Neurospora crassa OR74A: one gene and its partners. The main gene of each other region encodes a partner of the protein of the gene in region 6 in a complex. Links are inferred from orthologs where the notes say so. Each region holds a gene or a part of one and is shown on either strand. Other genes may lie near its edges. The genes, in order: NCU00952, NCU06749, NCU02804, NCU07852, NCU05714, NCU07560 and NCU08299.

Region 1 (2,995 bases), on a different chromosome or scaffold from region 6:
TCATCACCGGCAAGACTGCCCCTGGCGGTGTCTCCACCACCAACGTCACTGTCCAGCACTCCAGCAGCCGTGTTGCCCCTGACCAGCTTCCTCCCCTCCCTCCCAACGAGAATCTCCCCCCTGCCCCTATCGATAGCTCCATCGACAAGTGGTTCTTCATCAGCGGTGCTTCCGCTTAGAGAGTTCGTTTGTTGAGGTAGAATAAAGATAATTTATTGGCACTTTGTTGTATTGGTCAATTCGTCGTGAACAATCCTCCATGGTGTTACCCTCATGCGTTGTTTTGCGTAGAGTCGAACGTCTTTGCAACAAGGTATGCGCGGTCAGAGATTGGCCATTTCTGAGGCTGTAGTCCATGCCGTGGGATAGGGACTTGTCGAGGAGATGCTCGACATTCTTGCGCCATGAGTTTCGCCGTTGAAATATACCGATACCGTTGATGAATTCCCCATCGAAGGAAACACGGTCGCCAAAACAAAAACAAAAAAAAAAAAAAAGGCCGATCTCAACTTTGACTTTGTCAAAATGGGCGTACCGTGATGTGTGTGAATCAATCCATGGCAGAGGTGCTATATACGCATGTCTATAACAACAGGTACCCAAACTGCCTTGCCAACTGAAAATCGCCGGCCCCTTAACGCCTCCCAATGCTGTTGGTGTACACTTACAACCTCTTGCCCAATACAAATACAGGTTCATATCTTTTGTTGTTGTTTTCTTCTTTTTGGCTGGTAAGGCGATCTTACAGATCTCTCAGAGAGGTCGTCAGGTATCCGGCTCCAAGCTCGCTGGCTTTACCCAGGTGATTCGAATGTGCCTTTAGATATCCAGACTTTTCCTCTTCTCCTCCCGGTCAATCGTCATTTTGGTACCACGGACCAAAGCCAAGTAGTCTGGGTATCAAGACAAGATGGGCTTTCGTCGCTCTTCCCGTGGCTTTTCCCTCCTTTTTCCTAGTCTCAGTCTCCCTCGTTTTACCCGCAAAGTTCGATTGGTGGATCAAAACACAACAAGGGCGTCTCGAGATTGCTGGGTTTTGAAGAAGAAAAGAAAGACAGAGATTCGGTTAACCGTCGTTCAAGTCGGCCTGCTTCTGAAGGATACGAGAGTGGCGATCCACCTCCTCGACAATGCTTTTGATGCCCATGTTCTCAACGTCGAGGTTCATTTCCTTGCCGTCCTCTGTTTTTTTTCAAATACGTTAGACTACGGCTTGATTCACAGCTAACGACTCTTGATTGCCTTCCAGCCGGAATGATCCAAATTGCAACAACCAACTGCAACGGCGGTCCGTCGATGTGTGACAGAGTTGCAAGTGACAAGAAGAGAGACATTGGGAAAACGTACTGAACTTGACGTAGAGCAAAGGAGTCTCGGTGGAATTCCGCGGCAGAAGCTGGGTGGTGATGTTCATGCCATTGGAGCGGGCGTTGGGAGGGAGGAAGGAGAGGAAGAGCCGGGCGGCCTTGGCCTTGGCCGAGAAAGGGTTGAAGCGCGTTGATACGTCGGTGATGAAGCGGGTGAGCATGTTGGGCGAGGTCTCTCGGGTGGTGGTGGTGGTGACCTGAGGTCGTGTTGGGGTTGGGTTCGGGGAGGAAGAAGAAGAAGAAGAAGAAGCAGGAGGAACGCGGAGGCCTGACTGCGACTTTGCGAATTTGCGACGACGGGACTGCACTGCACACCGGACGGGGACGGATACGGAGACGCGGGAGACGGGAGACGGGTCTCTGTGGAGGATCGGACGGGGTACGTAGCTTGTGTGTCGCGATTTGGACTTCGATTCGGTCTTCGTGCCTGGCGCCGGCCGGCAGCGTGGAGGAGGGATGCGATCAAAAATTACTGGAGGTACGTACCGATTGCGCCGGGGACCGGGAGGGGTGTTTTTTGTAAAACGGAGAATGCGGGACGGCGCGTGCTACGTGTGAGAGATGGGCTGTGATTGGTTGGGAGCCAACTGGGATCAAACGGTGTCAGGCTCGATTTTGCATTCATATTTACACTACATCAGATCAATTGACATAATACATCTTTTTAATCTTCTGAACGGGAAGAGAATCACTTCTGGCCTTCTATTACATTGTGTTAGTCTGTAGCCCTGAGTGTGTAAGTTTGTGCTTTGTTCCTTCAGCGCAACAGTACGTACTCCCATTTGCCCCAGCGAGTTGTAACTTGAACTCCGTTACCGAATTCCGCATGTGATCCGTTTTCATTGACCTTGAGGATGACGTTGCAAGAGCCACGCCCACCGAGAACTTCCATTGAACATCGCTACAGTGCTCTCCTTTCAGGCCAGGTTTCCACTAATTATCAACAACAGCACAGCTGCTGATCAACACCAGGTACCTAAGTGGGATCCGACTACGATCCATGGAAACCATTTGTTACACATCCACCTTTTTCCAACACATATCTATCTACCTTTACCGAGTCAACTCCCTACGAATGCAATACCGACATAATACAACAAGTCACTAATGTCAACATTCGAAACGCTTCAAGAGCGGCTCACGGCCCTCCAAGAGACGACCGGCCAGCTTAAGGACCTCATCGAGCGTCTCGCCACGCTCAAATTCGAGCCCGGTTCCGTTCCTTTGAGCAACAGCATCAGCAGTCTCGCGAACACTGGCGCCGATGGAACCACCAACAGTGAGGCCGCTGACTTGAGCGCCGAAATCAGCCAGGTCTTGCGCGAGGAGGAGGAGGATTTGGAGTTGCTGCAGGAGGAGATTATCGACTTGCGCTCCGGCCGCCCAGGGAGTGAGGCGGAACATCAAAAGACGAGGTTAAAGGAGGGCGCGCAACGCTTGGCTGCCGAGCTTAAGGGGTGAGTTTTGTTTCTCATCTTTTCAGCCTGGATGGTGATGACGATGATGAAGATGAAGATAAACAACGTACCTAACAAAATTGCGTCTCAAAAAAATACAGCTGTCGAACCTCCTTCCGCAAAGCCCAACTCGCGGCGCGCCGCAACCTTGAAACCGCCCAGCGCCTCGAG
Region 2 (3,471 bases), on a different chromosome or scaffold from region 6:
TGACGAGATCTACTTCAAGGCGCAGATTCCGTGGATCTCGGGCGAGATGAACCAGCTGCACGGCCGCATCGACATCAAGTTCAATGTCAAGGGCACCAAGCGCACGGGCGTGATGCGCTTCGCCAGCTTCCGGCCCACGCCCCGAGGCATGTTCGAGACGACCGAGTGGAGTCTGGAGACGGAGGACGGCAAGGTCATTGACCTGCTGGAGGAGGGCGATCCGTTCAGAGCTATCAACGGCCGTGCGATGGAACCTGAGCTGGATGATGATGCAGAGGATGCGAAGGTCAGGGGTTTCAGGCAGATGCCCAAGTAATTGTTTTGGGGTGCTCTTAAGGAGGGAATAGTTTTGAAAAAAGGGAGGATATATATGGGAACCGGGGAAGGTGGTGGTCCCCCTCTCCCCCTCTCAAACAGGATGAGCTGAAGGACAGGATCGTGGTCTGGCTCTCTGATTGAATACCCGAAGGCTGTCAAGGAGGAATATGTGTAAGATATAGGGAGAGAACATACGAACCTATCACGGGCAAGGGTTGTATGTTCAAGTTGTTATACATTTTCGGTAGCTGTACATTTTAACACCCCACGATGCGTGTGTATCATACAAGAGAGAACTAAAAAAAATGAGAAACCGGGAAGGCTTTACCATACATTCCCTTCCATAAACCTAGTACAAACACATACTACAGACCAGAGACAGCCCCCCTCTCTTAAGCCGAAGCTTCTACCGCAGCATTTCCATCCGCCTTCTCTGTCAGCCCATTCTTGATGAGCGAATCTATCAGGCCCTGTCTCCTCGCCTCCTTGAGCTCCAAGTGCAACTTCCTCGCCGCCTGCAACTTCTCCTCCGCATCAGGGAACCGCTCGTTGAGGAGCTGCTTGGTGGCCTCGACAAACTCCTCCGGGGGAGGAGCCTTCTTGACAGCATCCTGAACCTTGACAACCGCACCCTTGTGACCAGCGACCGCGCCCTTGACCACCACGATGCCGAGCTCGTTGTCCACCATCAGAATGGGCAGGTTCTGGACCGTGTGCTGCTGCGCGCCCATGCGACCGGGCATCTTCTTGCCGGGCAACACACGCGAACCGGAGCCCTGCGAACCACCGACGGAACCAATGGTACGGTGGTTCAGCGAGTTACCGTGCGACGCCTCCTGACCGGCGAAGCCGTGACGCTTCATACCACCGGCAAAACCCATACCGCGCGTGATGCCGCGCACGTCCACCACCTGGCCGACGTGGAACCAGTCCGGAAACAGCTGGACGCCGACCGGCAACAAGCCGTCCTGGTTGCGCACCTTGAACTCGGCGAGCGTCTGCTTGGGCGGGATGCCCTTGGCCTCGTAGTAGCCGAGCTGCGGGGCGCCCACGTTTTCGGCGCGGCGCTCGCCCAGGCCAACCTGGACGGCCCAGTAGCCGTTCTTGGCGCGCGTCTTGTTGGCGACGACTTGGACCCGGTCGAGCTGCAGAACGGTGCAGGGGATGCGGGCGCCGGTGCGGCCCATGAAGACGGTCATGCCCTTCTTGACAGCGAGCACGCCGGTGCGCAGGGGTGTAGTCTTCTCGCGGCGCTTGAGGGCAGCGGCCGGGCCCGAGGTGGGCGCCGGAAGACCCTGCGTCACTTGGTTGAATCGTGTGGGCCTGCTGCGCTTCGGGAGCGTGCTCCAGCCGTACTTGACGCCGCGCTTTGTGATCTGAGGGAGGAGGGAGGGAAAGACAGTCGATGGCGAGGAGGCGGAGAAGGTGGGTGTGGTCCGGCCGGCGAGGAGGAGGGAGCTGGCGGCGGCGGTGGTTGTGGTGTGGGTGGCTGACCTCTCGACGAGGGAGAGCTGCCTCCAGCAGCGCGCGGGCAGCCGGGGCGCCATCGTGTATGTGTATAAGTCTGAGGGGAGGGTTGGGTGGTGTTGTGTTGCTTTTGGTGGGGTTGGTCGCAGTCAATTGGACCTGACGGTGTTCGTTGTATCGATGTCGGGGCCCCGGAGCGTCGAGTGGGGGGAATGGAAAGGACACCGGCTGTCTTCGAGACGCGAACCGGAGGGGGCGGAGTTGGGAGGTCGTTTCGGCGCGCGGCCGTTGAGGTGGTTTTGGGGCGGGTGCGGGAGTGGTGGTCGCCGGCTCGAAGCACGGAGCAGCAGAAATTTGATAGCCACTCAGAAATTCAGTAACGGGATGCTCCCCCCCCGATAACGTCGATCGGTTCGGCATCCGGGGATTCACAATTGACAGGGGAGGGGCGGCTATTCACAGGCGGGTACTATGTATTTGGCGGATTGTGGTGTACAGAGTGTGACATCTCTACAAGAAGGGTTAGGGTTAATTGCTTCTTTCTATTCACTTAGGTAGTTTTACTTCCGCTGGAGTGCGGGCGCATTTTACCGCATTGGATCCCCCAAACTCAACCGCTAAAACATCTTCACTCGAACCACCACCACACAGCCCCAGAGAAGAAATCGCGTTTTTGCATCTTGGTTTCCCTTCTTGCACGAAGTGTCTTTTTCATTGTCGCCGTTTTGAGATACCCAATATTCCCATCTTTCATTTCTTCCAAAGGCATCAGCAACCATGGTCTTCTATTTCACTTCGACCGTCGTCAGTCCCCCGGCTTTCATTTATGTGGGGAAAGACAAGTTTGAGAGTACGTGAAGATGATCATCAGCCACAATTGGTGGTATTCTGCATCTCCTTGTGGAATATGCATATATCTTGACACACTCATGGACATTGCATATTTGACTTGGATATAGATGTCAGCTCGTCACTCATCTAACATGCTATTTTATAGACGAGGAGTTGATCCAACACGGCTGGGAGGAGGATGTATGGTAAGTTTCACCCCGGCCAAGCCTAGTTCGGCATTTTCTAACTATTCTTCGTAGGGTATGACTCCCCATGAGGTTCTCGTCATATTATGCTCTGTTTCTCATTACTAGGCCCTACTTAGTTCCATGTCGACAAACTTTCCAGTGCTCATATCTACCTCCGTCTCCCAGAGGGTTGGACATGGGAGAACATTCCCGAGGAGCTCCTGACCGACCTTGGTCAGTTGACCAAGGCCAACTCCATCGAGGGTAAGTTGCTGCTTTTGAATTCTACTGTCAGGAAGTCATGGGGGAATTCGTGAGGACTAACTCTGTGCTTTTGTAAAGGTAACAAGAAGGACAACATCACAATCATCTATACCCCATGGGCCAATCTCAAGAAGGACGGCAGCATGGCGGTCGGCCAGGTCAGCTTCAAGGATCAGAAGAAGGTGAAGCGCATTTTGATCGCGCAGCGCGAAAATGCTATCGTCAACCGTCTGAACAAGACCAAGGTTGAGAAGCACCCGGACCTGCGAGAGGAGAAGGAGCAGCATCTCAAAGAGCTGCGCAAGAAGGATCAGGCGGCGGTGCTGGCGCGGAAGAAGGAGGAGGATCGCCTGAAGAAGGAGCGGGCCGAGAAGAAGTGGCAGAAGGATCATGCCTACGATGA
Region 3 (2,966 bases), on a different chromosome or scaffold from region 6:
AGGCTTGTTTGATCGAGGCGGGGGTGAGGTCGGAGGTGGTGGGTGAGAGGGAGAGGATTTCGTAGAAGGTTGGTTGGGACATCTTGGATGTGTTGGTGGTTTTGCGGTTTGGTGTTCAATGTGGTGTTTGGTAGTGCGGCCCCGGGTATAAAATGGTATGGTTGTGAGACCGGTTTGGTGTTGAAATGTATCGACGTGTAAGTGGTGAAAGGTTGGTGGTTTGCGTCGAGCAGCTTTCGAGAGAAAAGTTTGTATCCCGCAATCACGTGTCTCTTTGCGCTCGCTGCCCTTGTTATGTTGCTGTATACAGTAGGAAATGTGAATAGGCAAAAAAAAGAGGATGTGTGATGTGTCGGTTCTCACGTGGTGGTTTGAGTCTTAGTTGTGTGCCTGGTATCGTGAAGTGAGTTGTTCAGAGAAACAAATTCGGGGGGGAAATTTTACTGCACCGTTAGACACATTACCTCGTCTCGGCCTCCAACCACAGTGGGGAACTCCGTCTTATAAGACGCCAGAGGACGTTCAGTCAACAACCGGGAAACAGAACCACATTGATGGCAATCCCCTTCCAAATGGCTTGAAATTTGTTGTACATTGTTGGTGATGATACAGTCTATGGACATGGCAGTGACTCTCGTTGTAATCTTCCCGACAAGCGACAACAACCGATCGCTTATTTGGGGAACTTGGTCCAGTTCCTCTTGCCGACCTGTAGCGAAGCCCATGGTTAACAAGAGTGCAAACCGCAAGAGTTTGGGCGCAATCCTTACCTTTTTCCATTCCCGGATAAGGTCGGGCATAGCCAGCATGGCCTCTCTCCTCTTCTCCATCCTGTGTGCGAAATCCACCGTCAGCAAACCACCACTTCCTCCCAACCAGCAGCAGCAGCAGCAGCAGCAGCCGAGGATCGACAACGTACTTGGCAACCAGTGTCCTTTCGTGCTTGTGACCCTTGACCTTCTCTCCAACACCGGTACCCTTGACACGGAGACCGAGCTCGACTCTCTTCCGTAGCTTCTCCTCGTTGAGCTTGCGGGTGAAGGGCAGCAGCTCCTCGACGCCGTGTTCCTGGGCCAGCTTGACGAGCTCGGCCTGTCGCCTGAGCGAGTACTTGGGGTTGTGCCACTTTCCGGTGATTGGGTGCTTGGTGGGCATGAACGGGTTCGGGCTCTCCTCCTGGTAGGGCGTCTTGTGCGTCTCGGGGTCGGCGCCGGCGGGCAGGATCGAGGCCGGCGGGTACCGGGCCAAGAAGGTGCGCAACCGCGGTGGGAGCGAAAGCGCCAGCTGGACGTGCTGCTTCACCGTGGCCGCCATGGTGAAGATGTCGATCGACCGGCCTGCTGGCGGTACTGTGTCGGTCGAGGTGGGGGGGGGGGTTGTTTGTTTGTTTGTTTTTGTCGTAGGTGACAGGGTCCGGATTGCTCGAACGAACCGGAACGGGGAACTTTGCGATCAATCGGCCGCCGACGGGACCCCAACTGCGAAAAAGTTCCAGGTCGCGAAACGGTACATAGCGACAGCCGGAAGTTACACTTTGAGCCCTAACCCGACCTCTTTAACCCCCCGCGTAAGGCGGGGCATGTGGAGACCCTTGAACAGGCACGACAGGGATCACCGACCTTGAACCGTGACATAACTTTTGGGCGGGTCGAGAACTGTGCTGCACCGCTGCTGCACCCCAGAACCACCCAAGTTCGCCATAACAACAACCCCATTCCGGAACCCAGCACTGCTTGGAAATCAACACGTTTATTGTCAACACTGTCGCCTCCGACCAGTCTCTTCCTTCGATTCATCACCAACTCCATACACTACCACGATGAGCACGACATCAAGACGGGAACCCCCAGACCTGGCAGCACTGCTGCGCAAGAAGAAGGAGGAAGAAGCCGCCGCCGCGAAACCAAGATTCATCCCCAAAAAGGAACGAGAGAGGCTAGAAGCCGAGAAAAAGGCAAAGGAAGAAGAGGAACGCAAGCGCAAGGAAGAAGCCAAGCCTCAACCAAATGGAACAAATCATAACGGCAACCGCATGGACGGTATCCAGAGTCATCACAACCACAACCCTCAACGAAACATCCCAACCGGACCCAAGGCGATGCGGTACGACGATGACCGGGGACCCAACGGCATGAGCAACGGTCGGGACTACAGAGACAATCGCGACAACAGAGATAACCGAGACAGAAACCAACGGGGCGCAAAACGCGGCGCACCCAACGATGACGAAGAGAAGCGAGCCAAGATGGAGAGGAACGACGAGGCAGAGCTGCGCGCCCGCTACATGGGTCCAGTAGTAAATCAGTCCACATTCTCGGCCAAGAAGAAGAGGAGGAGGACGGCAGCGAACAAGTTCAACTTTGACTGGGATGCCGATGACGACACTAGCCGACCCTTCGACCCCATCTACGCAGAGCGTCAAGAGCCTCTGGTCCGACTTGGTGGTTACGAGATGACGGAAGAGATGGTGATGCGGAAGGCCGAAGCCATCCGTCGTGGCGATCCCGAGACGGGCGAGGAGCGCGCCAGGCAATACCTGGAACAACACAGACGGATCAAGGAGATGGAACAGCGCAAGAACCTGGGCAAGCACTGGTCCGAGAAGAAGCTGGAGGACATGAAGGAGCGCGATTGGCGTATCTTCAAGGAAAACTTTGGCATTGCCACCAAGGGCGGTGCCATTCCCAACCCTATGCGCAGTTGGGAAGAGTCCACGCTGCCTAGGCGTCTGCTCGACATTGTCAAGAACGTGGGTTACGACGAGCCGACGCCGATTCAGAGAGCTGCCATTCCCATTGCCCTTCAAGCACGCGACTTGATCGGTGTGGCCGTGACGGGTTCCGGTAAAACTGCAGCTTTCTTGCTGCCTCTGCTGGTTTACATCTCCGAACTACCACCCCTGACCGAGTACAACAAGAACGACGGTCCATATGCCCTGATTCTGGCGCCAACAAGAGAACTGGTGC
Region 4 (3,615 bases), about 3.2 Mb from region 6:
ACAAGATGTGCGAGCAGATCTTGGATGCGGTACCCGAGACGGAGAAGACCAACTATTCGCTACCCAACAAGCACTACTTTGAAGTTGGTGAGTACCCCTTTCGCAAATCCACCAAAAAAAAAAAAAATAGGTCCAGATAAATTTACACTAACACCCAAAAAAAAAAAACAGATCTCAGTTGGCACAAGGGCCTCCAGAACACCGGCAAGGACGCCGAGGTGTACGCTCCCCAGTCTGGTCCCAACGGTCTCATCAAATGCGAGGTCTCTCGCTCGTAAGACTGTTGAACTTTGTTTTTAAAACGTCACACATGTTTCTTTGGCTTTCTTTTATGATATCACCATTTTTTTTTCTTCTTTTTTTTTGCATTCCCCCTCACGTTCCGAGGGGTTGGTTGGCGGGCAGGCGTACGTTTTGAAGGTGGAAAGATGATGATACCTTGATGCAACGGATCATCATGAGACGGAGGCTATGGACATCTTGACTGGCGCTAATTTTCAGGGGTAATCAAATAAACTTCCTATTATGAACAAGCAAGCATCCGAAAAGCACTGCTAGCTGCACTCTCGAATTACCAAGTGAAAAAATATGCCGTGAAATCGGTGAGGCTGACTTTTTGCCTTCGCGGGCCTTCAGCGTGTTGGACATGAGGATCTGCTCATCGCTTATCAGATCAAACAATCAATGAGTCTAAACAGCTCTCATGAGTCGTAATCATGGTATCTTGTTGAGTGATATATTTGTACAATGAGAGGCCCCCTTTTTCTAACCCAAGTTCGTACACTGTCCGTTGCGCGCTGGGCTCATGAACCGGCTTCCCATGTAATATACAGACTGACACTGGCGGCATTGCCCGTGAATCACACGGCCAAGTGGGCTGTAACAGACACAAGAACACACGAGAGAGATTTCTCGCCCCAACGAGGTGGTTGTCCACACAATCTTCCTCACAGTTGACAGAGTTCTCAGTCTTCGTCGGCTAGATGGTTCGTAACGGCTCGATGTAGATTCGTCCCTACATCTCTTTCTCTCCCGTTTCTCTGACACTCTTCCATGAGTAGATAGCCAGCTCCAGCGCCTTCAACCAGACCTTCACACCTCAAAGCCATGGTCGCTCATAACCTCTCCATGTCCGCCTCCCGGATAGCCTTGACAGCCTCCTCCCAACCTGGAGCGCCCACCACCTTACCGCCAAATCGCACCAAGTTCTCCTTGTACGGGTGCGCATCACCCTCAAACGCCTTGAGCCTCGCCAGTCTCTTGTCGCGCAGCCTGTTCTTGGGAAGCATGCCGCTGACGGCCTTGCGCAGCACCTCGGCGCCGCCGTGCTTCTCCATCAGCGCATCCATGGTGATGGCCTGTAGCGAACCGGGCCGGGTGTTGTGGCGGTAGTACGTCTTGCGCCACTTCTTGTGGCCCGTCGTGTACAAACCCGCGCAGTTGGTCACCACGACGTAGTCGCCGCAGTCGGTGGAGGGATCCCAGATCGGCTTGTGCTTGCCCATCAGGATGGTGGCAATGCGCGAGGCGAGGCGACCGAGAGAAGGGGGAGTGATGGCCTCGGAAGGAGCCTTGATGGTCGAGAGGGTGGGGTGAGGGGTGACGGCGGAGATGTGGTGCCAGACACGGGAGTAGGCTAGTCGGGTCTACACGTTCGTCGCAAGACGGCGGTGGTTAGTGACGGGTGGTGGAGGTGGTGGTGGTGGTGGCGGGAGGGCGAGCAAGTGCCAAAATTGTAAGAAACACGACGAAATTATGGGACAGTTGTGTCCGAACAGGAAGAAACTTACAGCTCCGACTGTTTGCGACATGTTGACGGTGTTGCGCGGTGGTGATGTAGGTCGTATACTATGGTGTTCAAGAGAGGATTAAGGTGGAGAAGGCAGGTATGAAAACCAGTGGGAACGAGTCCCTCATCGACTGGTGGTAAGTGAACCTCTATGTGTTATCGTCCGGGTCAATTGAATGACACGGGATCGGGCGGGCTCCGGAGTGTTCGAGACGGCGGGTTCGGCAGGCGCGAGAAAGTCCGGGGCTTGTCGCGGCGAACGGGTATCAAATGTGGTCCGGTATCACGGGAAGCAGAATGGAGCTCCTGCAGAAGGGCAGCAGCAGAGCCTGCCAAGCCCAAAAGCTGCAATCACTTTTCTTGCCGGAAAATTTCCACGTACGATTGGGGCACGACGGCCCGCTGGCGGTTGGCGGGGTGGCTACGGTGGTCCGCAAGTCTTAGTGTGTAATTGAGGAAAGCACTAACAAACACCAACTCGGCGCACTTAGAGCTCTCTTTTACTGATGTCCCATGTACCAAAGCCTGCACTTCCTTTCCCGGTACATATCACACGCTTTCGGGGAGCAGGATTGCCCTGGCTTGGGCCGATCGAGGAGCCGGACACAGCGGAGCCCCAGTTGGTCGCCCGCAAAAAGTGGTCCCAGAAAGGTGCCGTCGCTTTGAAATCAACATTTTGGCAGGCCGACATCTACCTTCCTGCCGTCTTACAGTGAAGATGGGAAAACGACATTTCGCACTCCAGTGAGGTGACTTCATGCACTCTCTTGTCGAGAAACAATGAGGAATCTCAGCACAAGAGTCGCATTTACCCCGTCTCTTAAGCATCCGTAGACTGGAGCCAAAACGTTATTAATTGTACCTAGTCGTCCCCTCCTTCGCCGAACGTGGGGCTCTCCTCCATCGCCTTCTATACAAATCCATCGTCTCACGTTGGTGTTGCTTCTCACACCACCACTTCTATACTGTCCTCAGTATTGTCTTTGCTACCTCTTAGTGCCTGAAACCGATGCCACCGTACACGGCCAGACAAATCCTAAGTATTTCTAGTCTAGCTTTAGCAGGTTTTGGAGGCGCATACCTTTGGCAACAACGCCAACAACATAGGAACTATTTTCAGTCACAGTCATCCCCGGCTGCTCCCAAATCATCAATCCCGAAGATAGCCGGCAACATGGCTTCCATCACAACCCCCTTCAAGGTTTGTTTATACCCTTTTACAGCCTCATTTTCATATATGCCTACATATGAGCTTCGGTCCAAGCCCTTCCTTTTCTTTAGATAAAGGGTCCAAGCCTGTCTCACATATCTGACTCACCTTGACATACTTCCAGAGGCACATCATACTAACTCATTTCACAGACTCTCTTCGCCGTGCCCATGCACTGCGAAAGCTGCGTGAACGACGTCTCCGGTGCACTCTACAAGCTCCCCGGAATCAACAAAGTGGAGGCCAACCTGAAGGACCAGCTGCTCACGATAGAAGGCACGGCCGCGCCTTCCGCCATCGTCAACGCCATCCAGTCCACGGGCCGTGACGCCATCCTGCGCGGTTCCGGCGACTCTCAAGGCGCGGCCGTCAGCATCCTCGAGACTTACCACAAGCCCACCCTAGACAAGATCACGCCCGCCCCGGGAGCCTCGGACCGCATGGTCCGCGGCCTGGCGCGCATGGTGCAGGTGAACAACTCGACCACGCTCGTCGACCTCACGCTGCGCGGCATCGCGCCGGGTACTTACCGCGCTACGATCCGCGAGTTCGGCGATCTTGCGCGGGGTGTCGAGTCGGCCGGCCCGGTGTGGTCCGGCACTGCTACGCTGACGGC
Region 5 (3,458 bases), about 3.8 Mb from region 6:
AGCCAGAAGAAGAAGAAGAAGAAAAAGAAGAAAATGAAACACAGAAATGAAGAAAAAAGTTGAAGCAGGTCGTGATGTTGACAACGACAAAGTTTGGTCTCTCCCGCTCGAGGAAAGAAAAGTCAAGATGCATCAATGATGACGCCGCGGCGGGCAGAGTGGGTGGAGGGCACGCGCCGACTCCAAAGCTGACACAATCCCGTTCGGGAGGGCTGCATACAGTGGCTTCAGTGGACGGTTCCCGCTGTGGAAGCTGGGCATGGTGATTAGGGGCATTAGACTGGTCCGTGCATACTCCACTTTCTTTAAGCCGAAGGTATCGAAAGTCACCCGTGTAATTACCGTAATTACAAGACATATGGTCGGCATATGGTTGACATATGTCAATATTAACGATTCACATTCACATGCGGGGGCCTCTCACCGGCCCCCTGCACCCCCGGAGCTAACCCTAACCCTAACTAACCCTAACTAACCCTAACTAACCCTAACACTAATTGGTAATTTGCAGAGAAGTCGGGTATTGACGGCTGTTTTCGGACGTAATTACAAGCTGGTATGGAGAAGGTACCAAAAGCGACCTGGCACGTGATCAGACCCATATTTTCTAATGCCCCCATTCACCGTCCCCGTGGAAGCTGCCCTGGAAGGAATGGCCGGGGACCGCCCAGGACCGGGACTTGACCGGGGTCAGCTTGCGGGATTGACATGTCACTGGCCAATGGCTGTTCTTCCGACTGCCAGGTACGGGACAGCAAGTCTTCGAGATCCGTCGTTTGGACCATGTCAACACGCAGCCAAGTGATATTTACTTTATAAAGCCCATCTTCGAACTACGATGGATCGCAAAAGCAGGAACACGTCAATCAAGGGAGTTTCATGATTCACCTGCGTTGTCAGCAAGTGGAGTGCTGGCCGCATGTGGGAATCCACTCCCGTAGGTGAGACCTGTATGATGTACAAGGACCCAAATAGAACTGATCCGAGGAGCAAGACGCTGGACTGACAATACGCGGATGATAATAATACAACACAAAGCACAGAGCCATGAACGGGCCCAGTACCTATCATACAACAACGAGGAAGAGCGCAACAACGAGTCTCGGAAAAACCGCCATCCCAGGCAATGTTCGTGTTCATTAGAAGAGCTTCTCCGACGCCACATCCCCGGTCTTGCTGGCCTTGACCTTGTCGGCCCTGACCACCTTGACCTTCTCGCCGCCCGTCGGTACCTTGAAGTACAAACTGGGCGACTCGCCAGGCGCAAGCTGGTGGCTGAGGTAGCCCCTATGCGCCGGGTCTCTGTAGTACTCAATATCCCAACGGCTGGTCGGGTCCGGCAGGCGGTAGTACTTCTTCTTGAGCGATCGCGCCTGCGCCAGGATCTCCTCCACGTGCTCCTTGCCCACCGGCAGCGGCTTGTCGGTATGAAGAGACTTGCCCTCTACCAGACGCTTGAGCGATTCCTTGGTGTAGAATCGGGTGACGATCTTGCCGCCGGCAGCCTCGATGGCCTCAATGGCGGAGGCGGACGCGCGCGATACGGTGATGGTGACGGGGATCTTGAAGCTCTCCTTGCCGCGGCCGAGAAGCTTGATGCCGTCCTTGATGCTGCTGCCAATGATGCCGGACTTGATGATCTCCTTGGGGGTAATGGGCTTCGTGGGGTCGATACGGCCGGCTTCGATCCATTCCTGAAGCTTTTCGAGGTTAAGCTCGGACATGTCGGCAGCGAACCTATGAAAGACACAAATGGTTAGTCTCCATCATGTATCTGGTAGGTATAGGTTATCGGATAGCATGCTGGAGAGTTCTTGGCCATGGCGCATAGCAAGCGAGGTAGGGAAGTCGGGACGGCATACTGGTTAACGAAACCCTTGCGGCCGTGAGAGACGATCAAGGGCGTCTGACCACCCTGGAACCATGGCTTAACATGACCGTGGGCCTTCTGACCCTTGGTACCGCGACCGGCAGTCTTGCCATAGCCGGACGAAGGACCGCGACCCTTGCGAATGCGCTTGTGGTAGGCGCCCCGGTTGTCGGACAGGCTGGCGAGGATGGATGCGCTCCTGGTCTGGACGGAGAGGGCAGCAAAGAGCGAAATGAGGGACGACGTCGGCGACGAGGCTGGGACCGAAGGGCGGGCTGTGAGGGAGGCCTGGCAGCATCGCGCCGCCTGGGCGAGCGGTAACCTGGGAGGCATGACGGAGGCGGAGGACACGGGAGTGGGTTGGGTCTGGGTCGGGCAGTCTTCCGGATTCCGTTCCTCACGGCAACGGCACTTCCCCGAAAACAAAAGTTCAGGACCCGCGCCCAGCCAAATTCCGACACCTGCGTCGCGGGGGTGGACCGTGCGCCCTCGTTGGTCTCGGTCAATTGCGAATGGGCGGCTGAGTCAGCAGCTGGTCCACATCCGACGTCCTTCGCCAAGGGACCGTGATGCTCCAAAATATCCATGTTCGATATCACTTACACGGGATATGCAAGAACATGTCAAAGGTTCAGTGCGGTGAAAGTCCCTAAGAGTGATTGTACCGCGGCTTAACAGGCTGAAGAACATCTGGTGCGAGTTTAGGGAATTTTTCCACCCAGTCGGAATGATCATAAATTGAGTGTCCCGAGGCCATTGGAGGTGCGTTGAGAAAATATTGTGCAAGTACAACTGTGGGATGCTTAAAGTATTGCCTTTGAGAGCAACGCAAAACAGGCAGCCAAGAGCAGCTCATACTAGAAACCTATTATAGATGGGTCTCAACTGCGACCTACGCTAGAATTACACAGAAGTCCTGAAGTAGGGCGTGTCGAAGGGGGTTCTGTGTCAGCCATGAGCCAATCGAGCTGGTGGGGTTCGGGAGTGTTGAGAATGGCATGAGTGACATACACGCTGGAATTGCCTGAATGTTACTTTGATTTACTGAAGGTGTTTGTATGGCTGATAGAAAGAATGTAATTGTTAAGCCTTCTTTGCTGTCGGATAACGTTTACTGCAGAACAGAGCAAGGGACAGCGTGCAGTCATTTCGCGGGATAAACATAACCGATCGTGATGGAACTTTCCAAGTCAAGCAGAGAAGCGCCGCTCCGAAATGGCTTTTCACTCAAGTCTGTCTGAATTTCAAGCATGGAATGTCAGTCCCAAGCCCAAACCACGCGCCAGGTACCTGCCACCGCTCCTGCCACCGGCAATCGGTCGGCACGCCCTTCACCGACGGGAACATCGGATGACAAGATCCCTTCCCGCCCAGGCCGCAAACCTCTAGTACCCTCTGCTGTAGCCTACAGGTATTATATAAGGTCGGGTTCCCTAACTGATCTCTCTGGCATAACGGAACTCTGTGATCTTTTGGCACAGTGGTTCCCGTTGATGAAAATGTGTGGCTTTTTCGTAGGTCTGCAGTTGGGGTATTGTCGTTCGTTCTACAAACTTACCTGGGCGACCGAGCTTTTTGCTCTTCATGT
Region 6 (3,934 bases):
CTTTTTGTGTGGGCTTTGGGCACGATTTGTGTGTTATTCAGATTGCTTTTCAGATGGGTGGAGATTTGAGACTTGACTTGTGTGTGGTGTGGTAATGCCAACAAGTAATTTGTTAATGATGTACGAGGAATGGAGGAGTACACCACTGGTACGCGCGCGAGAAGTGTCCCAGCTAGAGGTGTAAGCCAACGGCCTTATATGGATGATCAAGGAGGATGTCCTGATGGAGGCGTAGGAGACGTGTGAAGATATCCTACAGGCCGCCGTGGTGTGGACTTTCAACCAGCTCAAAAGTACCGTTGCTTTGGTCTGCGGCTGGCACAAGCTTTGACTGTGTGTCTCAAGCCGGGAGAACCGGTGTTCATCATTGATCAAGGCTGGATCTTGAAGAGGTCACTGCCATACCTATCCACGTCTCTAATGCAGAATCGGGTCACAGATATGTGATTAGCTCAGTCTGTCTTGTTTGTGTATGTTAGTATCAGACTTCACCTCAGATAGCGGTATGACCAACCCAGCGGATGTCTGGTAGTATTCACCAACCATCTCGCATCCTGTATGACATCTTCATCCCAAATCTCTATACACAGCATATGTTTTTACATTACAAACAACACCCTCTCTCGTCCCTGTGCTTCATGTCAGCCTTCGCCCGCTTCTTGCAGACATGGCATGCGAGCTTGGCTTCGGCCTGGTCAAGTACGCTGAGGCGTGCGAGGCCTTTGAACTGTCAAGTCAAGTTCCAAACCATCTCTGATTCTCTTCCTCGAGACCTTTGATTGTGTTCGGCTAGGGGGCGGTCCAGGTCTACTCAGCGCATAAACAACAATTGTACCTTGCCACCGACCGACTAAAACCATCTTTTGATATCAATACATTTGTACACATGCTTCTCTCTTCTTCTTCTTCCGCCACCCACTGCACTTCCCCATTCTATTTCCCCGGAAGATAATGGTGTAGTCTCACCGACTTCGACCATCGACTCATCATCACCTCTCCAACCTTGTTCTTCCATACTTCACTTCACCAGACCAGGCTACATAGGGTGTTGTTGTGTTGTGTTGTTCACCTCTCAGCAAACATGCCCTTGACGCTGTGGAAGTACTCCTCCGCCAACGTGCTGCGCAGCTCCTCCTGCGTGAGCCACTTGAAGTCGACCAGATCATGCAGGTTGTCGGTCAGGTCGGCCTGGCCGGCCATGATGCGGCCCTTGAGGAAGAAGATCTTCTCGCCCTTCTTGAGCAGGGCGCCGTCCTTCTGGCCGAAGACGGGGCGGACGACGTGGTGGGCTACGGGCACGCGGCCGACGATCCACGTGTTCATGTTGACGCCTGCGGACTCGGCGAGGATGCGGGCTGCGGTCTGTTTATCGTCATCATCAAAGGTTAGTTGGCCGCGAGTTTTGGAAAATGGTTGGAAGTTGGGTTGGGGAAAAAGGGAATATAACGAACCTCATGCAACCCCTCATCCGTAGGCACCACGCCCGTAGGGAACATCCACTTGGCCTCCTCGCCTTCCTTGTCCGCCTTCTTTTTGACTACCAGATAAAGCGTCTTGTCCAGCGCGCGATCCAACCGCTTGACATCCCCTTTCTCATCCGCCTCCGTCCGTCTCGGCATCGGCTTCTCGACGGGGACCCGGTCCTCGGCGGGGATCTCCTCGCCATCCTCCGACACGCGCATCTCCGCGTCGGCAAGCAATTTCTCCACCATGTGCTTTCTCGACGACGTCTGCGACCCCACCAGCACCTCGTCGTTCCACGCCATCCGGCCGCGCGGGTTGTACCGACCAATGTCCTTGGCGGGCACGCCGTGGCGCTCCTTCAGCTTGATGCGCCAGTCCAGGTCGGCGGCCGTGTCCTTCTTGAAGTAAAAGTCCTTGCGGAAGGGGGCCGTCAGCCGCTCGTTGAGGCGCTTCTGGTAAAAGTAAAAGGATTCTTCAAAGGGGGTGAGGTCGCGCGTCAGCAGCGGGGGGCGGGTCAGGATCACGCCCGACTTGATGCGGTAGATTTGCGACGAGGTCGAGGTGGCGGCGTGGGTGCCTGTTGATGTGGTGACGGGCGGGTGAGGAGGGGGTAGTGTTGTTGTGGTCGTGGCAGTGGCAGTGGCAGTGGCAGTGGCAGAGGCCTCGGCGGAGTAGAAACGTCTAGGTGCGCTGGTGACGCCGGCGGGCGCAAGTACTCGGGTTTGGTTGCGGCATTGTAGGCAGATGGACCGTTGTTGGCCTGGAAGGAAGAGAAAGAACAGATTGCGACGGGTTAGTTATGGTGTCTTTAAGCTTAAAGTTTGCGATCGGAAGCCATGCATGGAAAACACCAATTCGTAACGAGTTGACGATACGAAAAGAAGATAAAGAAAAAGTGGTCCATACTCCTAAGGAGAGCAGCTCCCCTACTCGACGCCGACATGATGGGCAGTATATATGACTTGGTTGTTGAACGGGGCCCGGGTGTGTAGACAACGGGACACGGGACGGGGAGAGGGAGGGAGGACGGGTGAATCTTGCGCGCGCGCCAATCCTCAACGCAACTCTCTCTCTCTCTCTCGCAAGTCTCGGGGTGGATGCGGGACGGGGTCGGTCGGTCGGTCGCTGCGGCGGGCGGGCGGGCGGGCAGGCAGGCAGGGCAGAGCGGACGGACGGGCGACACACAGCGCGGGAAACCGGCCGTGAACTTTTTCGATGTCCGCAGCCCCACTCTTTCCCTGGGGCCCTCCCGCCTGCCGCGCTGCCGCCGCGCACCGATCAGTCAGGTCCCCTCCCTGCTCGTTTCGTTCCTGGTCGCGATTGAACAATTGAGTCTTGGCAACCGATTTACTTTCCTTCACCGCCTTCCCTTTTCGAAAGCTTCCCTTTTTCTTCTCCAAAACCAATCCCCCCCGCTACCTACCCCACCATAACTTTCACGTCCTCAGTTAGGTTCACGGCTCCTACGACCCCACATGACCACTCACCTGACCGAAGCGGGTCCAGCAAACTTTTGAACTGAACTGCTGCAATAAAACTGCCACCAATCCCCCCTCCCCTTCTCTTCTTCCTTCTTCTTCTTCTTTTTTTTCTTTCTTCAAGGCACCATTCCTTATCATCACGACGTTTCTCTTCCTCCAAAACTGTCCTGATCATTTAGTCCGTGCCGAGAGGAACCACCATGAGCAGACGAATTCGCTAGCGGTACCTGCCTATAAACGCTCTACCGGGTTGCTGTTAGATAGAATCTGCTTACATATTTTTCTCCTGCGAACTCTCGTGACGGTTTTGCATTGTATGTATGTAATAATACTGCAGACTGTCTTGTGTGTGTGTGTGTGTGTTTGCTCTTTCTGAGAAATGAGCTTGGCCCAGTCAGTCTGGTCAGTCAGTCTCCTTCTCCATGGCATGTACACTACGTGTGAGGAGACTTCGCTAGATGAAAGTCAAGATGGGGCTGGTTTCTTTGAAAGTGTTATTCTTGCCACTTCGTGAAATGCTTCCCCGTCTCGAATTTCTCAAGCCTCGTTTTTGTGGCACGCGTCTTGTCTGGCTGCTTGGTGTCCTGTCGATTCATTCCTTGACTTTGGATATGAACCTTCCTGAGATCATTCATGGATCGTTCTCCATCCCCGACACTTGCTTGTCGTCACTCCGGTCAATGTCGCGATCAAGCACGGCCACATCTACTGAAGTCTCAGCTACGCCGCAATGCACATACTGCCCAGCTCAGAATATTCATTTCCACCATCCATGTCGCTGATCACGATATACATATGCGTGCTTCATCTCATAGAATTATCAGACCTGCCTCCTTGCTAGCGTTCGGACAAGCTTTCCAAATCTTTACTAGGCTACGTATCAGAATGGATGGACAAGTTAGTGGAATATCAAAAAAAGATGAACAAGAATAGAATGAGCAGTCATCACGTTATCAACCGACTTGTTCAGCACACCTTGCGCAATGCCG
Region 7 (4,140 bases), on a different chromosome or scaffold from region 6:
TACCTTAACAATATGCCAATTCTATAGTTGTCAAAGTCTCCTTCATTGATCCCTTTGCATCAGGTCGCAAGTTCTGATGAACGTGTTTTTGGAAACGTCGTGACAAAGTACCAGGAGGGGGTGAGAAAGTGAGGACGCAACTACAGAGAGAACAGTCCACATTTCATCTCCCCTCTCACCAACTTCATCTTCCTCTCACGTATAAGATAAACAAGAGCAATGTGAAGAAAGCACAAGGCAAAATAGATACTAAACAACCTCTAGTTTGGATGAATGGAAGGCGCGCAAGCTTGGGAGGAACTTCCAGGCTCGATCTCGTCGTCCGGTCTTTTACTCTTGCCGGTTGCGTATTCCCATTTCTTCCTTTACGATGCTTGTTATACAAAACAAGGGCTTACACATCCTGGAATTGTACAATGCGTGTAAATTGCGTAGTACCATATTCTCTCTTACACAGCCTTCTCCTCATGCCAGAGCAGTCAATACGTAGAGGAAGGATTTATCATGTCATGTACTTCGTTGATGCCTCGTAAAAAATTTGACTTCTTAATGCTACACATACAGACGATGATCTTCCTTCTCCCTGGCCTCGGCTACTTTTTTGGTATTATACACTGAGAAAGAAGGACACAGATGCCACCCCGACGAGGGTTGTGTCTCTCTTTGTCGAAAGCAGAGCCAAGCAGCCACCATCCAGACCCTCTTCATTCCCCGTTCCGTCCCAACCCCCCTTTGTATTGGTATATGTGGCGGGGGTGTGCGTGTGTGTACATGTATGTCCGTTGCGCGCAAATCTGTATACAACATCTCGTCTTTGGCAAAAAGAGCAAGAAACAATGGAAGGAAAGGGAGTGACTGGATGGGAGAGGACCATCCATTTAATATCCCCTTCCTTCGCAGGACGGAAATTGCCCGCTCTCAACAGGACAGGACAAGAGTGGAAAGGTAAGCTGAGCTTTTAGACCACACCAACAAAATCCACTCGTTGTTTTGTTTCCCTCTCGATCCTCTTGCGTCGATTTCCACAAGGGGAACCTATCCCGAGTTGATGGGCCGCACAACCAATAAAACCGAGAGTGTAAGCAGGCCATCTGCGACTCTCTTTTTACCTTTCGTTTCATACACTTCCTAAGTTCTCTACTGCCCTGCCGTACTGTCCGCCGCCATGCTCCGTGTTTCAGCCTCCTCATTTAGCGGGAGATAACCTCACCCATATCAATGTATGCTGGCGTCCAGGGCTTGGCACCCTCCTCCAGCATATCACTGGGTACCCGAGGGTTCTCGCCAGGGCTGTAGAGATACCAAGCCTTCAGGGCGTTCATGGCGGCCTTGAAGCGGGCGTGGTCGAGAGAGGAGGCGGCGCCCTCGCCGAGCTTGTCGCTGCCGCTGTATATACCGACAACAAAAACGGGGGTGCGCGACTGGCGACCCGTCTCGGAGAGGAGACGAGCCACGGGGGGCTCGAAATCCTCACGGGCGCAGAGCGCGGCGAGCTCGCGGGTGGGGTACTTGAATTCGAAGAGCTTGGCAATGTCGAGGGTGCGCGACATGATGTGCGCCTTGACAAAGGCCTTGGCGGCCTCGCGGCCGCAGTGGGCGTAGATGGCACCGACGACGGCGCGCACAAAGTAGGCGTGGGCCCGCTCAGCAGCGGCCCGGGTGTCGGGGTTGCCGTAGCGGTCGTAGCTCACGTCCTGGTCCTGCTCATTAGCGACCATCTCGGCCTCCTCCTCGTCGGGAGTCTTGTCCTGATCCTGCTCTTCCATCGCCTTCTCCAGATCGGCGGCAACCTTGGGGTCGCTGCGCACGACATCACCAAAGTCGTCGTCGAGAACGACACGCGAGGCCATACCGCGACGCCACTTGAACTTCTCGAGGTAGGCGAGCTCTGTACGCTTGTAGCCGAAATTTGTGATGGCGACGCCGGGCTTAAGGGCATCGAACTGCAGAAGACCGGGATCCACCTCGCCGCCGGGCACCGCGGCGGTATCAACACCCCATGACCGCGCAATCTGGAGCAAGGGCTTCGGTCCGGCATAAGCCTTCATGGCACTGAAGAGAATTCCCTGGGGTAGACGGGGGTATTTGCAGAGGAGCCATTCGGCAATATGGTAGTTGATGAGGGTCTGGCCAACGAAGGCGAGGTTGGCGTTGTTGAACTGCGGGTTCTCGTCGGCCGAGGCGTCGACCAGTGTCCTTGCCAATGTCTGTAAGGGGATCTTGGGAGAAAGATTCAAACGGGCGTGGAGGGCGGCCAGTTTGGCCGAGGTCAAGGCCCGTTCGGGGAGGGGCGACGGTAGGGACTCGGCCGCGGGGGGGAGGGGCTCAAGCGGGGGGAACCGATCATTGTTGAGATCGTGGGATGCATCGTGCTGAGCGAGGGCAGCTGTCGATTGCGATCGCACCGAGATTGCAGATCGGGATCGGATGGCGGCAGTGGCGGGCGACACTCCGGAGCGAGCGGCGACGAGCAGCCGGCTCGTCAAGCTGGGCGTTGCTATCCTCTTCATGGGCGATATATTTGATGGGTGATGGTCGGCTCGACAACCGGGTGTTGACGTGCTGGGGCCCAGGTTCCGTAAGTGTGCGCCGTCTGGAGGCCCTGCCAAGAAAAGGATGGAGTGAGGGAAATCGGACGGGCAGGTGGTGAGCCGGTGGTCGCGGGGTGGGAAGCTACTCGGGATCCCGGTCGGAGTCGCGCGTTGATCGGATGGGTTCTCGTTCAGACTCGGCCGGCCGTCGAACACGGGTAGAAAAAAAAAGTTCTCCAATCTGAACGCTCACCACCCGTACACTAGACAAGCCCACCACCCAGAGCCGTGAATCAGTGCTCAAGCGCAGGGGTTACTCCCCCAAGACCGAGACATAAAAGCCGGCTGACATGATTCGTTGTTGGCCCAGTGAGGGTCCCCACAAGATCCATCTTCGACCCCAATCCACTATCTGCGCTGTCTGTTTAGCATACGGTGCACTGTGGTGGACAAGCGGGAGCTGCCCGCCCGCCGCCCGCCGCCCGTCTGTCGCATGCGCCCTCGGCCCCAGTTAGGACGAGTGACATGGTGACTTTCAGGCCTGGATGGTTGATGCGATTTAGCCCCTCGTCAGCCTGTAGGCGGATTCATCATTCGTCCTTCTATCCAATTGTTCCCGCTGAAGCATCACCACTATTGTGCCGTCGTTCGCAGTGCATCGCAAAGTTGACAGTACAAACCGATCTTGCTTAACTGCGAGGTGGAAAGAATCATTCCTCGTTGAACGTCCAACCTACCTCACCACATATCCCAAAACTTCATCACAATGGTGCGTATCCACCCGATTGCTTAGAATAGCCATCATCACTACTATGTTTTGTGTCTGCTAACTCTCTATTTTTCCTGTCTATAGGGCGGCGGTCCCCAAGTTCCGTGAGTTTCATCGCCCTCGACATGCGCAAACCCTCCGCGCATTCTGTCCAACCCAGCCTGCGTTGTGTCATGGATCCGTCCTAATCGTTGCCTCGCCCTTCACTCCAGCTACCCCAAACACGTCTGGTCGCCTTCGGGTGGTTGGTACGCCCAGCCGGCCAACTGGAAGAAGAACACGGCTGTTCTCGGTGGCGTCGTCTTCCTCATCACTGCCGCAGTCTGGAAGCTTAGCGCCGAGAAAGAGTACCGTCACAAGATGCCCGAGCCTGGTCGCTTTTATCCCAGCAGATAGTATGTCCTGGCAGACAGACCCCCATCCAAATTTTTATACATGCGTAACGTTTTCCGCGAGCGCAGACCGCGGGGATGTTCTTAAGCTGACGCAACCGATATTACCTCCACTAGCTGGAGCAGACAGATTATCGAGTATGAGCGGGCGCAAAAGGAGAACGGGACGACACAGGAGAAAAAGTAAATTTGGGCATAGGCCCTGCCACCCCGGCCGTTTGGTCATACAGTACATGGCTTCCAAAGGCTTGATGGAATAACAGGACATCTTGGCTTGGTTGAGGCCGGCCGGTTGGTGGTAGTAATGCAATATTCGGAATACATTCAACGTCGGTTACCCTCCGCTGGCCGTCTTGCGTTGGTGCTCCAGAGCCTGGCTACGTCGTGAATAAAGCTAACTTTGATGTGGATCAGTTCTGTAATGGATTATAGAGGAAACTACCTCTAT

The links.
Region 1: NCU07560 (region 6) and NCU00952 share a complex: the UniProt entries of both Saccharomyces cerevisiae proteins name them as parts of the mitochondrial large ribosomal subunit. The link is inferred for Neurospora crassa OR74A from reciprocal best matches to the Saccharomyces cerevisiae genes MRPL17 and MRPL44.
Region 2: NCU07560 (region 6) and NCU06749 share a complex: the UniProt entries of both Saccharomyces cerevisiae proteins name them as parts of the mitochondrial large ribosomal subunit. The link is inferred for Neurospora crassa OR74A from reciprocal best matches to the Saccharomyces cerevisiae genes MRPL17 and MRPL9.
Region 3: NCU07560 (region 6) and NCU02804 share a complex: the UniProt entries of both Saccharomyces cerevisiae proteins name them as parts of the mitochondrial large ribosomal subunit. The link is inferred for Neurospora crassa OR74A from reciprocal best matches to the Saccharomyces cerevisiae genes MRPL17 and MRPL25.
Region 4: NCU07560 (region 6) and NCU07852 share a complex: the UniProt entries of both Saccharomyces cerevisiae proteins name them as parts of the mitochondrial large ribosomal subunit. The link is inferred for Neurospora crassa OR74A from reciprocal best matches to the Saccharomyces cerevisiae genes MRPL17 and MRPL23.
Region 5: NCU07560 (region 6) and NCU05714 share a complex: the UniProt entries of both Saccharomyces cerevisiae proteins name them as parts of the mitochondrial large ribosomal subunit. The link is inferred for Neurospora crassa OR74A from reciprocal best matches to the Saccharomyces cerevisiae genes MRPL17 and MRPL10.
Region 7: NCU07560 (region 6) and NCU08299 share a complex: the UniProt entries of both Saccharomyces cerevisiae proteins name them as parts of the mitochondrial large ribosomal subunit. The link is inferred for Neurospora crassa OR74A from reciprocal best matches to the Saccharomyces cerevisiae genes MRPL17 and MRPL3.

What each region holds. Positions count from the first base shown.
Region 1 is NC_026501.1:6,595,531-6,598,525, reverse strand, and holds NCU00952 (mitochondrial 54S ribosomal protein YmL44), read right to left. Parts: upstream 1,823-2,995; 5' UTR 1,529-1,822; coding exon 1,348-1,528; intron 1,183-1,347; coding exon 1,067-1,182; 3' UTR 501-1,066; downstream 1-500. Other genes in the region: NCU00951 (inorganic pyrophosphatase), read left to right, coding at 1-179; NCU00953 (hypothetical protein), read left to right, coding at 2,475-2,824, 2,926-2,995. UniProt on the Saccharomyces cerevisiae protein: Component of the mitochondrial ribosome (mitoribosome), a dedicated translation machinery responsible for the synthesis of mitochondrial genome-encoded proteins, including at least some of the essential transmembrane subunits of the mitochondrial respiratory chain.
Region 2 is NC_026502.1:2,066,201-2,069,671, reverse strand, and holds NCU06749 (mitochondrial 54S ribosomal protein YmL9), read right to left. Parts: upstream 2,209-3,471; 5' UTR 1,866-2,208; coding exon 711-1,865; 3' UTR 501-710; downstream 1-500. Other genes in the region: NCU06748 (hypothetical protein), read left to right, coding at 1-316; NCU06750 (coiled-coil domain-containing protein 25), read left to right, coding at 2,563-2,635, 2,783-2,822, 2,965-3,068, 3,147-3,471. UniProt on the Saccharomyces cerevisiae protein: Component of the mitochondrial ribosome (mitoribosome), a dedicated translation machinery responsible for the synthesis of mitochondrial genome-encoded proteins, including at least some of the essential transmembrane subunits of the mitochondrial respiratory chain.
Region 3 is NC_026501.1:9,064,477-9,067,442, forward strand, and holds NCU02804 (mitochondrial 60S ribosomal protein L25), read right to left. Parts: upstream 1,507-2,966; 5' UTR 1,315-1,506; coding exon 920-1,314; intron 832-919; coding exon 771-831; intron 710-770; coding exon 674-709; 3' UTR 501-673; downstream 1-500. Other genes in the region: NCU02805 (diphthamide biosynthesis protein 4), read right to left, coding at 1-82; NCU02803 (pre-mRNA-splicing ATP-dependent RNA helicase prp-28), read left to right, coding at 1,820-2,966. UniProt on the Saccharomyces cerevisiae protein: Component of the mitochondrial ribosome (mitoribosome), a dedicated translation machinery responsible for the synthesis of mitochondrial genome-encoded proteins, including at least some of the essential transmembrane subunits of the mitochondrial respiratory chain.
Region 4 is NC_026503.1:1,107,705-1,111,319, reverse strand, and holds NCU07852 (mitochondrial 54S ribosomal protein YmL23), read right to left. Parts: upstream 2,140-3,615; 5' UTR 1,812-2,139; coding exon 1,791-1,811; intron 1,647-1,790; coding exon 1,116-1,646; 3' UTR 501-1,115; downstream 1-500. Other genes in the region: NCU07853 (uricase), read left to right, coding at 1-87, 172-278; NCU07851 (superoxide dismutase 1 copper chaperone), read left to right, coding at 2,799-2,990, 3,152-3,615. UniProt on the Saccharomyces cerevisiae protein: Component of the mitochondrial ribosome (mitoribosome), a dedicated translation machinery responsible for the synthesis of mitochondrial genome-encoded proteins, including at least some of the essential transmembrane subunits of the mitochondrial respiratory chain.
Region 5 is NC_026503.1:604,608-608,065, reverse strand, and holds NCU05714 (mitochondrial 54S ribosomal protein YmL10/YmL18), read right to left. Parts: upstream 2,329-3,458; 5' UTR 2,204-2,328; coding exon 1,863-2,203; intron 1,738-1,862; coding exon 1,140-1,737; 3' UTR 501-1,139; downstream 1-500. UniProt on the Saccharomyces cerevisiae protein: Component of the mitochondrial ribosome (mitoribosome), a dedicated translation machinery responsible for the synthesis of mitochondrial genome-encoded proteins, including at least some of the essential transmembrane subunits of the mitochondrial respiratory chain.
Region 6 is NC_026503.1:4,356,846-4,360,779, reverse strand, and holds NCU07560 (50S ribosomal subunit L30), read right to left. Parts: upstream 2,755-3,934; 5' UTR 2,408-2,754; coding exon 2,371-2,407; intron 2,225-2,370; coding exon 1,452-2,224; intron 1,363-1,451; coding exon 1,066-1,362; 3' UTR 501-1,065; downstream 1-500. Other genes in the region: NCU16690 (hypothetical protein), read left to right, coding at 3,404-3,727. UniProt on the Saccharomyces cerevisiae protein: Component of the mitochondrial ribosome (mitoribosome), a dedicated translation machinery responsible for the synthesis of mitochondrial genome-encoded proteins, including at least some of the essential transmembrane subunits of the mitochondrial respiratory chain.
Region 7 is NC_026504.1:2,488,264-2,492,403, reverse strand, and holds NCU08299 (mitochondrial 54S ribosomal protein YmL3), read right to left. Parts: upstream 2,801-4,140; 5' UTR 2,511-2,800; coding exon 1,191-2,510; 3' UTR 412-1,190; downstream 1-411. Other genes in the region: NCU08300 (uncharacterized protein), read left to right, coding at 3,298-3,300, 3,385-3,404, 3,513-3,695, 3,810-3,879. UniProt on the Saccharomyces cerevisiae protein: Component of the mitochondrial ribosome (mitoribosome), a dedicated translation machinery responsible for the synthesis of mitochondrial genome-encoded proteins, including at least some of the essential transmembrane subunits of the mitochondrial respiratory chain.